Linked DNA regions of Saccharomyces cerevisiae S288C. The gene in region 1 interacts genetically with each later gene. Each region holds a gene or a part of one and is shown on either strand. Other genes may lie near its edges.

Evidence for each region.
Region 2: mutations in YNR061C (region 1) and YFH7 together harm fitness more than expected from each alone (negative genetic interaction), as found in Saccharomyces cerevisiae (one large-scale study listed by BioGRID).

The regions. Positions count from the first base shown.
Region 1 is NC_001146.8:739,475-748,242, reverse strand, and holds YNR061C (uncharacterized protein), read left to right. Parts: upstream 1-4,702; coding exon 4,703-5,362; downstream 5,363-8,768. Other genes in the region: PUL4 (Pul4p), read right to left, coding at 1-1,300; PUL3 (Pul3p), read left to right, coding at 2,900-3,883; FRE4 (ferric-chelate reductase), read right to left, coding at 6,133-8,292.
Region 2 is NC_001138.5:156,853-162,493, forward strand, and holds YFH7 (Yfh7p), read left to right. Parts: upstream 1-2,446; coding exon 2,447-3,508; downstream 3,509-5,641. Other genes in the region: YFR006W (putative Xaa-Pro dipeptidase), read left to right, coding at 1-900; FAR7 (Far7p), read left to right, coding at 3,683-4,348; putative AAA family ATPase GCN20, read left to right, coding at 5,636-5,641. UniProt on the Saccharomyces cerevisiae protein: ATP-dependent kinase that could be involved in endoplasmic reticulum membrane assembly.

The sequences.
Region 1 (8,768 bases):
CTCTTTCTAAGTTTACGAATGGTACCTCGTTTGCGGTGCTGGAAGTATATAGCCGTTGAAAAATCTTACTTTGTAGAGTGGCTAGCTTGATTCTGATTTGCATGAAATCTATCAAAAGTTTATTAGTTTTATTGCGGGGGGATATTTCACACGGCAGAGGTGTTGTAATTTGTTCCAAAGTGATAAAAGGATTTTTTCCATGAATTGTTGCCAACATGCAAGAAGAACACCAAATGTTCCAAAAAAGCAAGATCACACCAATTCCGTCGCTGTTCGACTCAAGTAATTCCTTGCATTTTGTATTGTTGTTCAAGTTTAAAGCCACAGCAAGTTGTAAAGCATTTATACTCAAATATAATTGGTGCTCTAAGGATATCATCATCGTCATGAAATTTGCCATTAGAACGAGGCCGCAAAATCCATCGATTGTGGGATGAGATAACAAGTCGGGAACAAGCGTTTTCGCAGCATTATAGTACTTAAAAGCATCAGTGGTCAGTTTTGAAATACTATTCTCCGGCAAAAGTGGACGATTGTCTATGTTCGAATGATTCAATAGTTCCCTTTTTCGTATGGTCAACGACCCCAGGCACAATACAGTTGAAAGTAAAAACTTTTCATCACTATTTCCTTCTGTACATTCCAAATTTGGGTATTGGGATTCCAGCTCATATAGATGCCATTTTGATATTCCTGGTACGGAGTGAAGCTTGTTCTCAAACAAGACATCGATTAGCCGAGACCTCGTAGGAGCGTTATCTTCGCTCTCAGTTTCTTTAACCACACCGCTTAAGCCTGTAGCAGTAGGTGAATAGGAAAGACTTTTTTGTTCCTTTGAAGGTGAATTATCGCCTAATAGTTTTAAAAAGTCATCGAAATCTGTTGTCTCAGTGTTAAACTCATCGAAATCAAAATCGATCGGAAGAGAAGTGTCCCACCCGTCATTATTAAAAATCACAGCATCATTTGTGCCAAATCTTGATATATCAATATCTGAATCGAATTTTGGCGCTTCTTTCTCATATATATGAGAAGAAAGGTCTTCATTTAGTCCTTTGTTCTCTAGTATAGAGTTATTCCCGTTATCGATAGTATTATTCTTGAATAAAAAAACCTTCGACCCGTTTTTGATTTTTCTCTTGTCTTTCCTTTTATCAATATTATAAATGCATTCTTTTGGTGTATTTAGCCTTATACATCTTCCACATGGCTTGTTCCCATCGCACTTCAACTTTCGTTTCCTACACACAGTACAGGCCAAACTAATAGATCTCTTTCTAGCGTCCTTAGATCTGTCCATACTGCTTGTTGCGAACGCTTTTGTAGTTTTAGATTAAGCTCTCACAAGGGATATTATTAAGGGAACTTGATGGTCGACTTTAATTGAATCTTAGATGACAGCATCAAAGAGAACAGACACAGTTTTTCAGCGATGCCCGTAAAAACAATAGATTTTTTTTTTAAGTCGAGATGCTTACAAAGTAAAGAGCCTAATAGACCTCTATGTAAAAAGCATCAGATTATTCTTCAAACTCAAGTGACTTGGCAGCTACTGTTTTAACATACGGGCAAACAAACTTTAGGTGGAACGCTGGTTTCTGAGGTTTTCGAATTTGGATACTTGCCAGAGGAGATAAAATGTAATGAAGTTTTCTTATGACAACTTTTATTCTGTACTGGCCTAATAATAAATTAGTTTTTACCAAGAACATTGCATGTGTGCCATCGGAGCCATTTGCCAAAGACCAGTTTCTAGATAAATACATTCTTGAATGAAGTTTAATTTCTGATATTTTGTTAGCTTCAAAAGTTATTCATAATACTCTCACTTTACTAAGTTACATCTAAATATAAGGCTCAGGATATCCTTCTGGGTGAATAGTTCTCGAGAAAGCCCATTAAAACTGAGCTATTCTATATATGTATGCTTGAGTGTAGAGCTCGAATTATATAAAAAAAAAAATACATTACTGTGATCCGCCAGGAAAAGGCAGTAAAAAAAGCTGATACATATTTACAACGGCGAATCGCGAAGACACTTACTTTTCTCACATGCCTTTGTCTTTATGCTTACAAAGGACCACTTTACTTATTCTTCTAGTCTTTCGCTTCGACGTCGGAATCTCAAAAAAATATGGGACAGCTGTCTGGAAATGGGGGACAGTCTAGGTAATTAGAATTACCAAACGCCTACTGTTCTCTTCTATTACTAAAATAAGTTGATTTTACTATTTTGATACAGAAGTATAGCGCCCAAACAAGCCTATCCCATTCTAAGCGGAACAAAATTTCCTAATCTGGAAAAGAATCGCCGTCAATAAATAATCATCATATAAAAGATCAGTTAACATTACTTTCTAGTTGTCAAGTACTCTTTCGTTCTTCTTAATTGTATCTCAATTGCATTACAAATCCATCCATTTCACTCGACGGTGGTACAATAAATTAAAATGAAAAAAATCTTAGGTGTCAAGAAACACATGTTTTTGAAATACTTGGCTGTAATTTTGATAGCTGTCCAATTCAGTTTCGACTCCTGTGTATATCTCTCAAGTGTGGTTGACTACATCAAAGAAGTAAGTGTTAATGTAAATCTAAGATAATTTCAATGAACTAGTATGCTAACAATTTAGAGAACGGAGAAACCAATCCGGACAAATTCTTGTTCAGAATTCAAGCCATTTCTGCAGCAGTTCAAGTTTTTGTTTCATTCATTATTGGGGATATTGCTGCTTTTCTTGGGTCCATTAAATGGGTAATAGTGGGGCTTTACTTTTTATCCTTTGTGGGTAATTTTTTGTATTCATGCGGCGGTGCAGTGTCGCTAAACACCCTTCTCGGTGGGCGTATTATATGTGGTGCAGCATCTGCTTCTGGTGCTATAGTGTTCAGTTACATCATGTCAATTGCACAAGATAGGGGTATCGTTTTCAAGCTTCTATCAATTTATCGAGCAGCGGCTGGTATCTTCATGGCGTTGGCACAATTAATTGTCATATTTTTTGGATATTGCGATTTTAAAATTAAAGGGTATCGCATTGCCTCTTACAATGCACCGACATTTGCCTCCAGTTTCATAATTCTTGCAGTATGCCTTTTATTAGTTGTCGTTCTGGAAAATCCTGAGGTTAAAGTTACAAATTCGGAAAATAGCCTTTTCAGTGCTCTGAAACAATTTTTTAGAGTCGAAAGAAAAAAACTCATCTCCTGCTTGATTTTACTATGGAGCATGTTCCTATCGTCATTTATTATGAGCGAAGTAGTTTATTTTATGCCACTATTCCTGACGCTCCACGTTAACTGGGACACCAAGTTTCAAGGCATAGCGTTTATGGTCGCATCTATACTTGGTGTGACTGGAAGCTATTTCGCTCCAAAGTTAATAAACGTCGGGTGCTCCTGCGGCAGAGCCAAAGATGGCGGATTAGAAGAGTCAGATACAACTGGAAGTGAGACCGTTGAGGTAAAGAAAAAAGATTCGCTGTACAGCGGTCAAGTTTTTCTGTCCATCTTTGCATTGTTTGTTTCATTGCTGGGACAAGCTTTTATGATTGGAGCATCCGAAGCCTTGAAGCATAAATCAATGCCACCCACAAATTCTGGTATATTTTTTTCAGCTGGGATGTCGATTACATTGTTAGGGTACAACTTTTTGGCTTCGAGCATTCCAGCCCTTTTTTCCATGTACATCGACCCCAAACTCAAGGTCCAGTTGATGCCTTCAATTGGAGCAATCTCTGGGATTGGTAAACTGGTGGCACCGATTGTATTAGCAGCTCTTTATGGCACAAGATTGGGGCTTTCAATTGCGGTTGGATTTGGTATGATTTTGGTAGCTGTTTCAATTCCACCGCTTATTTGGCTCAGGAAAAAAAGGTGTTAGATTTCCTTAGACATATACTGGTCCAAATCCAGCTATATATCGGGTGCCATTGACGTATATTTTTTCGAAGAACTTGGACGACAAAAAGTCAGCCTCTTTTTTATGGCGTTCTATCAACAAATTTTACATTTGGAAATGATAGTGTATTATCTTTACCATTTCTATAGTGATATATCCGGACTAATCTTTTAGCGGCCATAAATAAATATTACTAATATTTAAAGTTTCCTTCTGATTTATTCTTCTATTATATTCAAACCAGTTGTGGAAAAGTGTGTGCCTCTTTTATATGGCACTTTATACTGAATGATGTAATCAGTTTGCATGGACGCCAAAGCTTGTATTTTAACCAAGGTTTTTTAGAGTTTGGCCGCTTCAAAGTTAAAGACGTTAGGCAATTCGCATAACCTTTTCTTTAATCTCAATATATTATTCTAATCTTATTCTGCAAATTGTCATTGGAATTCGCTTCCGATTTGCTGTACTGCTTGCTGAATAATATCTGCTCTTGCATTGGCAGGTGAGAAATGAATACTATCTTTTAAGGATGTTGGTTTATAATCTCTCGGAGACTAAAAACCAACTTCTCAAAATGATTTATGTATTTGCCCAAAGTTAAAATTGCGTGTTTCCAATTACGTATGCGATATGTAAAAAAATTAAAAAAGTGAATGAATAAGCGACTTTTCGAGTTGCTATTTTTTTCTTGGTTCAACAGAAGTAAAATATAATCAACCATAAATAGGAGAATACAGGCGGTGCTTACAGCTTGATATTTTGTTACCAAGTCAAGATCTATAATAATAACTCAATACATATATGTTAAAGTTAACAACAACATCCGTTACTTTCCACGTACTAAGATATTTCCAACTTGGCTTATCTGTAACTAACTTGTTGTTAGCTAGTTTTGCCATAATCACAAACTATAAAGTGGATCGAATCCTTAGATTGAGCTTAGCTGTTTCAATCATATCTTCAGTTTATTTTGGGATTGTGAGATTTTTGCCTGTTCTGTTAATATTCGTGATGGAAATTGTTCAGACCGTCCTGTGGTTTACCGCTTTCGTAACTCTAGCTTCAAAATTTGGTTCTATGTCCTGCTCAAGTATGCCACGGGGTATAAACTTTGATTATTCAGGTTCTTGTAAGATTGCTAAAATAGATATTTTACCAGAAGCCGTTTTATTCATACTATTTCTCGCTACCACATATGCTTCTTATATCACAGTCCTATCTCAAGCTAAGGAAAATGGGTCAAGCACAAGATCTGTTTTGAAGGCTTGTGTGAAGGCATTACGTGATACCGTGGACCGCTTGGAGACCAGTCTGGAAGAGAGTGAGCCTCTTTTAGATCTTGAAGTTCAGGAAGATGCGAGGACTGAAACCGAAAGCATTGAGGATTCAACTGATAGTGAGGATAATGCTAACATCGAACAAGAGAAAGTGATTGATGGTTCAATTGAGCATTCTTCATGATGAACCAAATGTCTTGTAGTGCATGCTGTTTCTGACTTTGCTTAATGGATTTTTTTAGTTCGACGATGTTCCGTATATTTTAGAGGCACACACTTTCACTTTTCCTATGTTGAGTAATGAAGGCATTTGAAGTTACGGAACCTTATAGGTGTCAGCACGCTGTCATTCCAGATAATTTTGTGTCTCCCTTACCTCCACATATGAATTTGGAATACCAATAATTACCTCTTAAAAGGTTTCAGAAGACGTTTACTATTTAATTCTTAGCTACACATCATATAGTTATTAATTCAATATATTACTTTTGGTACTGCATTCTAAAACACTAAAGTATAACCTCCGAACATTATATAGGTGTTTATTGAGTTATTTTTTGAAGAAATAGTCCACTAGAAATTGCTTGGGATGCGGGATTCCTTTTTCTCTTGGTCCTTACATTATACACCAATTTTATCTTTATAAGAAAATACAGGTAGTTAAATTAAGTACATGAACGCTGAAGATCGATTGGTTCATATTCTATCGGCAATTGGTGTGTTATACAATTCAGAGTTACTAAATATGAAGCTTCTGTCATCTTACGTATGATTTTTCTGCTTTTTAATACGATTATTTTTCTGAAAAAGTGTTATTTGAAACAACTTAAGCCTCAGTAGTTAGAATCAATCAACAAGAGTCCCCTAAAAAAGGCGCAAACCATCTACGTTAATGAAATTACAACAGTTAGAGGATATTATACATTGAGTGTTTACTTAAATATGAAAAATTGTTCACCAGGCTTGGTATTCCTCCAAGTATTCAATCATTCTTGATGGGTTTCTGATAACAGCTTTGGCAGTTTGATTTCTAGCGGTGTCGACGAAAATAGGTGGTCCGCAACATACGACGGCAAGTGAACCAGAATGGTTAACAGATTCATTTAGTATTTCTTCAACATTTGGCCTTCCAACATGGAAAGTGGCAAATTCTAAATCGGAGATAGACGTGTCATTCAGGGAAAGAGGTAGTTCTGTATTTTCACTTTCAGAAGGAGCTTTTTCTGAATTGCTTAGACTAGATGGGGCCTTCTCTGCTGTCGTTTCACCGTTTTTGACTTCATTTGAGGAAATTTTTTCAGCCGAAGCTAGCTCTTGCTTAGAATTATAAATGTGAACTTGAACATTCAAGCCCTTTAATGCCATTAGTTCTTTCTTACACGCGTTGAGCATGTCTAGTCCTCTTACTGCTATGACTAACTGTACAAAGTTTTTACCGCTTGCAGCTGTTGTCTTTCCTAATTCAAGGGCATGAGAAATTGGACCGGGAAGCCCTGAGCCACCTGCCAACAATAATACATTATCAAAGCGATGGGCGGTGGACTTGGAGCCATAAGGGCCTTCGATAGCTAATCTCATGGATGCCTTGCCGCCTTTACGTTCAACAAAGTTTCTTACCAGTTTTGTCACACCTTTCTTTGCTTTCAGAACGATGACCAATTCTCTATCGTTTACGCAAGAATCCATCACTGTAAATGGATGCGACTGCCAGAAGCACAATGGACGCAAGAAGGAAACGAAAACGTATTGGCCTGGTTTTGCCTTCCAAAACTTCTTTGGTTTTTTAACCGTTACACGGACCAAATCAGATCCAACCAGTTGTAGATCTGCTTTAGGAAATCCTAAGAGTGCAATTCTGGTGATACGTACAATTCTATCAACTCCCCAAATTGCTATTGCCGCGTAAATCCATTCGATACCGCTGAAGTTAGTAACATGCTCCCAACAAGTATAGAGAAATAGTGCTGCGAATACTATATGGAGGGCCATAAACGTTTCATAGTAGTGTCTTCTAAATGCTGCGATGGAAAAGAAAATTAACATTCCCGCTAAACAGGTGGTAGCAATACCGAATTTCCAGTAGACTCTTAATCTAACCGTATTCCATTTTTTATAATACAAATAATAGTTCGTAAAGCCGGCAGCATGAATTATTGCATCAAGAAACATCATTCTTCCCAGCCACTTATGGAACACAATGAATGAGGTATGCTTCAAGCCAGAAATAAGTTGGAGAAAGTTATTTCTTCCCGCAAATAAAACAATGAGTGGCAGGTGTGCAAAAGAAAGTATACCGCTTCTGTACGCAACAAAATGTGCCACTTCTGCTCTATGAGCGGCAAATATGATGTGGTATGGATCATATTGATATTTGTAGGCCATGAAAATGGTATGAAGTATGAGGTAGCCTAAAATAACCAACGTTTCAAACCTAGTAGGAAGATAGCCTGTTATCACTTTTAAGTACGAGAAGGGCTCTGCATGCTTTTCATAAAGAGTGGGTAGAGTAGTATAACCTCTCACGTAATTGACTAGCTTTTGCTGAAACATAATCTTTTTTATTGGGGTATAATTCAAAAAACGAATTAAACCTGCAAGCAACATGACACCCACAAAGTATGCACAGATAATGCCCCCGAAATAATACGGAATGTCATGGTTATAGTAGTAACCATAGTATGCATCATAGTATGCTTTTCTTAGTGTAGTGTTCAGTCTGATAGGATAAGTGATATTGATGCCAGCTTTAGGTTGATCTTGTATATAGTATGTTCCATTATCCAATGAGGTGTAAAACTCGGCATCAGTCATGTTCAAAAACTTTGGTGTATAGCAAAATTGTCTCATTTCTTCAAAACCTTTCTCCAAAGTTTTATTTGAATACCCTTTCTCATGCGTGTCTTCGTAAAGACAGTAAAGCATCGATTGGATTGCTGGTTCATACCGACATATAGCGGACCCATTGAACCCCCATGTTTCTTTACGTAAACCAACGTAGCATGAATATATCGACCTTCTCTCATGAGTATTTATTAGAGACGTTTTACTGGGTGGGGCCTTTGCGGCCGAAAGCTGGAAGAACAGAAGGAAAGATATAATATGTACCAACAACATGGTTTTGCCTACCTAAGCTTATTTAGCCATCTCAGGTTCAAGAAATAGACGCTGGGGAGACACGATTAACTGGAGTCTTTCTCAGCTTCTCTAGTTGTTTTATATGAGAGTCAGCCAAGACTAAGAAAGAGGAGAAAAACTGGCTTTTAACGAATATTTTGTGTAACTGCAAGAACTACTAGGGTTTGATGTACCTTGCTCATTAAACTACGCTAGGAATTCCCTATGTAAACGCTGATGCGTTTGCCTTAACGAAAAAAATTTTCTCTAACGATACAGAAATTGTAACCTCATTTTTACCATAGTCACCGGCAGTGAAGGGATATATCGGGACCTCTACCAGTAGTCTTTGTTCTTTTGAGTATTGTTCCCTCAGGGTCCTATGAAACCAGGTGCAATTATGGTATTCGTTGAGTGTCTATGTTAAATAGGGTGCAAATTTTTAGACGGTCTTGCATAAAAAAACAAAAAACGTT
Region 2 (5,641 bases), on another chromosome or scaffold:
ATTGAAAGCATCAGAAAAGCTTGTCAGATTTCAGACAAGAGCCATTTGGCCGTTATGTCCGCGTTGCCCATCGAACTGAACGAGTTACAAATACAAGCTGAATTTGAATACCATGCAACCCGTCAAGGTGGTCGTTCTTTGGGCTATGACCCCATTTGTTGTTCTGGACCGGCATGTGGCACTTTACATTACGTCAAGAATTCAGAAGATATCAAAGGTAAACATTCCATCTTAATTGATGCAGGTGCAGAATGGAGACAATATACAAGTGATATCACCAGATGTTTCCCAACTTCAGGCAAGTTTACTGCGGAACATCGTGAAGTTTACGAAACCGTTCTTGACATGCAAAACCAAGCAATGGAAAGGATTAAACCTGGTGCTAAATGGGACGATTTACATGCACTGACACACAAGGTTCTTATTAAACATTTCTTAAGTATGGGTATTTTCAAGAAAGAGTTTTCTGAGGACGAAATCTTTAAAAGAAGAGCTTCTTGCGCTTTTTATCCCCATGGACTAGGGCATATGTTGGGGCTTGATGTACACGACGTTGGTGGTAATCCAAACTATGACGACCCAGATCCAATGTTTAGATATTTAAGAATCCGCCGTCCTTTGAAAGAAAATATGGTTATCACTAATGAACCAGGTTGCTACTTTAATCAATTTTTGATCAAAGAATTTTTGGAAAAGCACCCCGAAAGATTGGAAGTTGTCGATATGAGCGTATTGAAAAGATACATGTATGTCGGTGGTGTTAGAATTGAAGATGATATCCTTGTTACCAAAGATGGTTACGAGAACTTAACTGGTATTACTTCTGACCCTGATGAAATTGAAAAAATCGTTCAAAAAGGTTTGAAGAAACCCCGTTCAGGTTTCCACGTAATCGTTTAGGTATTAACTTTTTTTTACTCGCTTCTAGAAGTTTAGTATATTCTTTTGTACACAGAATTGTATATTTTTTTTATAATCTTGGATTCACCATTTAACTAGATTTGGAAATATAAGGAATGGCACTGAAAAAATTAAGGACCAACCCCGAAGAGCAAAAAATGAATGCGAATTCTGTGGATCGAACACAGGACCTCCAGATAACTTGACCGAAGTTTTTTCTTCAGTCTGGCGCTCTCCCAACTGAGCTAAATCCGCTTCTATTTATGAAAAATTCATTGTTACAGGAACTATAGGACTATAATAACTAGCTGCTAACACCTTTAAATGTGACTTTTCTCATAAGGAAATCTAGCGATTCAGAATTCGAGAATTTTGCAGATTGCAAAGTTTTCTTTTTACCATAATATTTGAGAATGTTGTAAAACTTGAGATAATTATTCGGATGTCATTGTTGATTGAAGATAGCATTCCTATGAGTCGCCCTCGAGGACTTGGATCGAAAAATCTACATAATATTAGTAATTACTATTATTGTTGGAATTGGATAAACCGTCGTCCACCTATTTGAGAAATAGGTAATTATTATATGAGTTATTTGGTTCCTTTTTGTTAAAGTAATAATTTGAAATGCCATCCATTTGGTAATATTCATGTTATTGGCATATTATCATATGCGGTTCAGGAAGATGACATAAAAGTTGAGAAACAGTTATCAACCCTAATGGAAGCTGAAATGCAAGATTGATAATGTAATAGCATAATGAAACATATAAAACGGAATGGGGAATAATCGTAATATTATTATGTAGAACTACCGATTCCATTTTGAGGATTCCTACATCCTCGAGGAGACTTCTAGCATATTCTGTGTACATAATATTATGGTCTTGATCAACAATGCAATCCCAACAGTTATCAAATTATTCAGAAAATTGATCACATTTTCGATAAATCTATTATGAAAGTAAAATTTTGACTCATACCTAAGTTCTCGTTATTCGTTAATCTTATGAACTCATTAACCTTGGCGTTTCAGCATCCGCTATGATTACTAGTGCTTAAACCTTGTTATTCATGCCTCATAATTGATGCCATCTTCTAACCTCGAGCGTGATAAAATTTTTGTAATATGAACACCAATCGGCGGAAGATCATCCCAAAGCCACATATGATGGTGCCTTATAACATTAATAACAACTTCAACTGCTGCATACCGATAATATCTTGACGATTATGCATTCGTGTCCTGATAGCTAATGCCATGAAACAATTCTTTTCAATCGCACTTGCACCTTCGTGAAATAGAAGGGTTATCTGGGCTTATCAGACTTGTCCACAGTTTACATATAATTTTTTTTCTGTATTAAATTTTGTGAGCTTTCTTTTTACTCAAACGAACTGTGTTATTTTTCGTTCATTAAATGCGTACCTTTAAGCATCATCAAGTATTGCTCTTCGGGAAAAATGAAGTAACCTTGTTAGGTTAATTTCACTAGTACTATACATATTTTATCCTGTATCATACCAGAGGATCATTCTAGCCACAATGGTCGATACGCATAAACTAGCAGACGACGTTCTTCAGCTATTGGATAACCGTATCGAAGATAATTATAGGGTTTGTGTTATCCTAGTCGGTTCTCCAGGCTCCGGTAAGTCTACTATTGCGGAAGAACTTTGTCAAATTATAAATGAAAAATATCACACATTTTTGTCAGAGCATCCAAATGTTATTGAGGTTAATGATAGGTTGAAACCTATGGTTAACCTAGTAGACTCTTTAAAGACGCTCCAGCCCAATAAAGTAGCTGAAATGATTGAAAATCAGGGGCTGTTTAAAGATCATGTTGAGGATGTTAATTTTCAACCAGTCAAGTACTCAGCCCTTACATCAAATAATGAAGAATGTACCGCAGTAGTTGCCAGAGGTGGTACTGCGAATGCCATAAGAATCGCAGCAGTTGATAATCCAGTCAATGTTAACAAGTTGGCCCAGGATAGTATCAATATAGCGCAAATAGTCCCAATGGATGGTTTTCACTTATCTCGCAGATGTCTAGACCTATTCAAAGACCCACAAACTGCCCATAAAAGAAGAGGTTCGCCCTCAACGTTTGACAGTAACAATTTCTTACAATTGTGTAAAATTCTAGCCAAGACGTCCCTATGTAAGGTCTCCTCACATCATAAATTTTACTCCACTTCAAGCGTTTTTGAGAAGTTATCCAAAACTTTTAGCCAAACAATTCCTGATATCTTTGTTCCAGGATTTAACCATGCACTAAAAGACCCAACTCCAGATCAGTACTGTATTTCCAAATTTACAAGGATAGTTATACTTGAAGGGTTATACCTACTGTATGACCAAGAAAACTGGAAGAAAATTTACAAAACATTAGCTGATACGGGAGCACTTCTTGTTTATAAGATTGACATAGACTATGAGGCCACCGAAGAAAGGGTGGCCAAAAGGCATTTGCAATCAGGGTTAGTCACGACTATTGCAGAAGGACGAGAGAAGTTTCGCAGCAATGATTTGTTGAATGGCAGGGATATAGATAATCATTTAATTAAGGTAGATAATATCGTCCATATCCGCAACGACTAGAAGGTTAGGCGGAACCTTGTATATATTTTTGTAAAATCGAACTGAATACAGATAATTAAGGCGCGCAAGCAAAAACGGCATTCTTTATGAACTCTGCAGAGGTGCCCTTTATTACGACATATATGGGAAGTAATACATATTGATTCTACAAGAAGTTCAAGCCAAGGTTTAGATATGAGTGACCAAATCAACGTTTTGTCAATGCAACAACAACAACAGCAGCAGCAGCAGCAGCAGCAAGTATATATGTCTCCTCAAGCAGAAAACTTGAATCATATGTACTTGTTAGTTAACAAGCTAGTGAAACAGTTGAGGGAAAATCAAGCAGAAAAGGCGAAAATACTAAGGAACATAGACATATTATCCGGAAGCTTAAACAAGTATGAGACATCTGAAGAACCTCACGATACCACGGAAAATATTGCATTATTTAATAGATTTCTAGAACAAAGAGGGAAAGCTCCTATTACTGAGAAAGAGCAACTAAGCAACAATCTGGATGAAAATGCGAAAGATGACGTTATGCTAGGAGTGTTGAAGCGCCAAAATTCAATGCTCCGGAAAAGTTTACAGGAATCCAAGCAGGTAACCCTTGAATCCATGGATTTATTGTCTTACTCCGAAGACTCTTTAAATTACATTGTCGCCCAATTAAGAGGAAACATTCTAATGCATCATAAAGAGACTATCAAATTGATTAGGCAGAAATTCCAGACGGAGACAATTCCCCTCGAAGATGAAGAGTTCAAGATGTATTTGGAAAATGTTAATGGTCTGCAAAAATTGACAGATATATCTCACACTTATAGATTACTACTGAGGTTACATGCACAAGATTGAAACTTTGCCCTTTTGCTTCCAATGAAAGCAAGATGACAAATATACATGCTTCTTATATTCGAGATTGCGCAAAAATTCGAAGCTCATTTATGAAGGCTTTTTCCATTCTGATATATGTTTATGAAATTGAAAAAGTAACGACGGTGGAACATTTTGCGGGAAAACAACTCACAGAATGTCTTGACGTTCTTTTCCTGCAGTTGCGTGCGTAAGATATCCTAAGCTACTGTATTATTTGCCAAAAATAATAAAATGTTGGAGGAAAGCCTCTATAAATACACAGGATATATATGTTTAATAAACATATATAATTTCCTCAATATTTGCAAAAGCATTTTGTTGTGATGAGAGTCGATTATCGTTTACCGATTAGTATCTATACTATTAATATATTTTCATATAATTAGTATAATCTCATATACGCTGCCAGAAGATAACATGAAAATTAAGAAACAATCATCAGCTTCAATGGAAGTTGAAGTGCAAGGATAAATAATACTATTTAGAAATATGGATTTTCCCTCGTTGACTAGAAGATCTGTGAAGATTGGGTGAATAGTTTAATAATTATTGGATCCCATTATTGATCAAGGCTATAATACTTGACTATTTGGCGAATTTTGAGATAATTGTTGGGATTCCATTGTTGATAAAGGCCATAATATTATGTATACAGGATATACTAGAAGTTCTCCTCGATGATATAGGAATCCTCGAAATGGAATCTATATTTCTACATACTAATATTACGATTATTCCTCATTCCGTTTTATATGTTTCATTATCCTATTGCATTATCAATCCTTGCACTTCAGCTTCCTCTAACTTCGATGACAGCTTCTCATAACTTATGTCATCATCTTTACACCGTATATGATAATATATTGATAATATAACTATTAGTTGATAGACGATAGTGGATTTTTATTCCAACACACTAATTATCATTCGTTACATCTCAAATTGGTTAGAGAAGTTACAAACATTATTATTGATTTATCCAAGGATAGTTTTCACAAGAAAACAAGCGCAAGTGGTTTAGTGGTAAAATCCAACGTTGCCATCGTTGGGCCCCCGGTTCGATTCCGGGCTTGCGCAGTTTCTTTTTTTTCTGATTTTTATTTTTTTGTTCCTGAAAATTTTTCGTATTATTAGATCTAGTAGAAAATGAAAGACATTTGAAAAGAGAAATATATATTCTGCAGTAAGCTAGCTAAGACTAGTCGTTTTGAAGCGCTAAAACGTTAACTTCGATTCATAGCACAAAAGGTAAATAACTTTTTTGAAATGGCA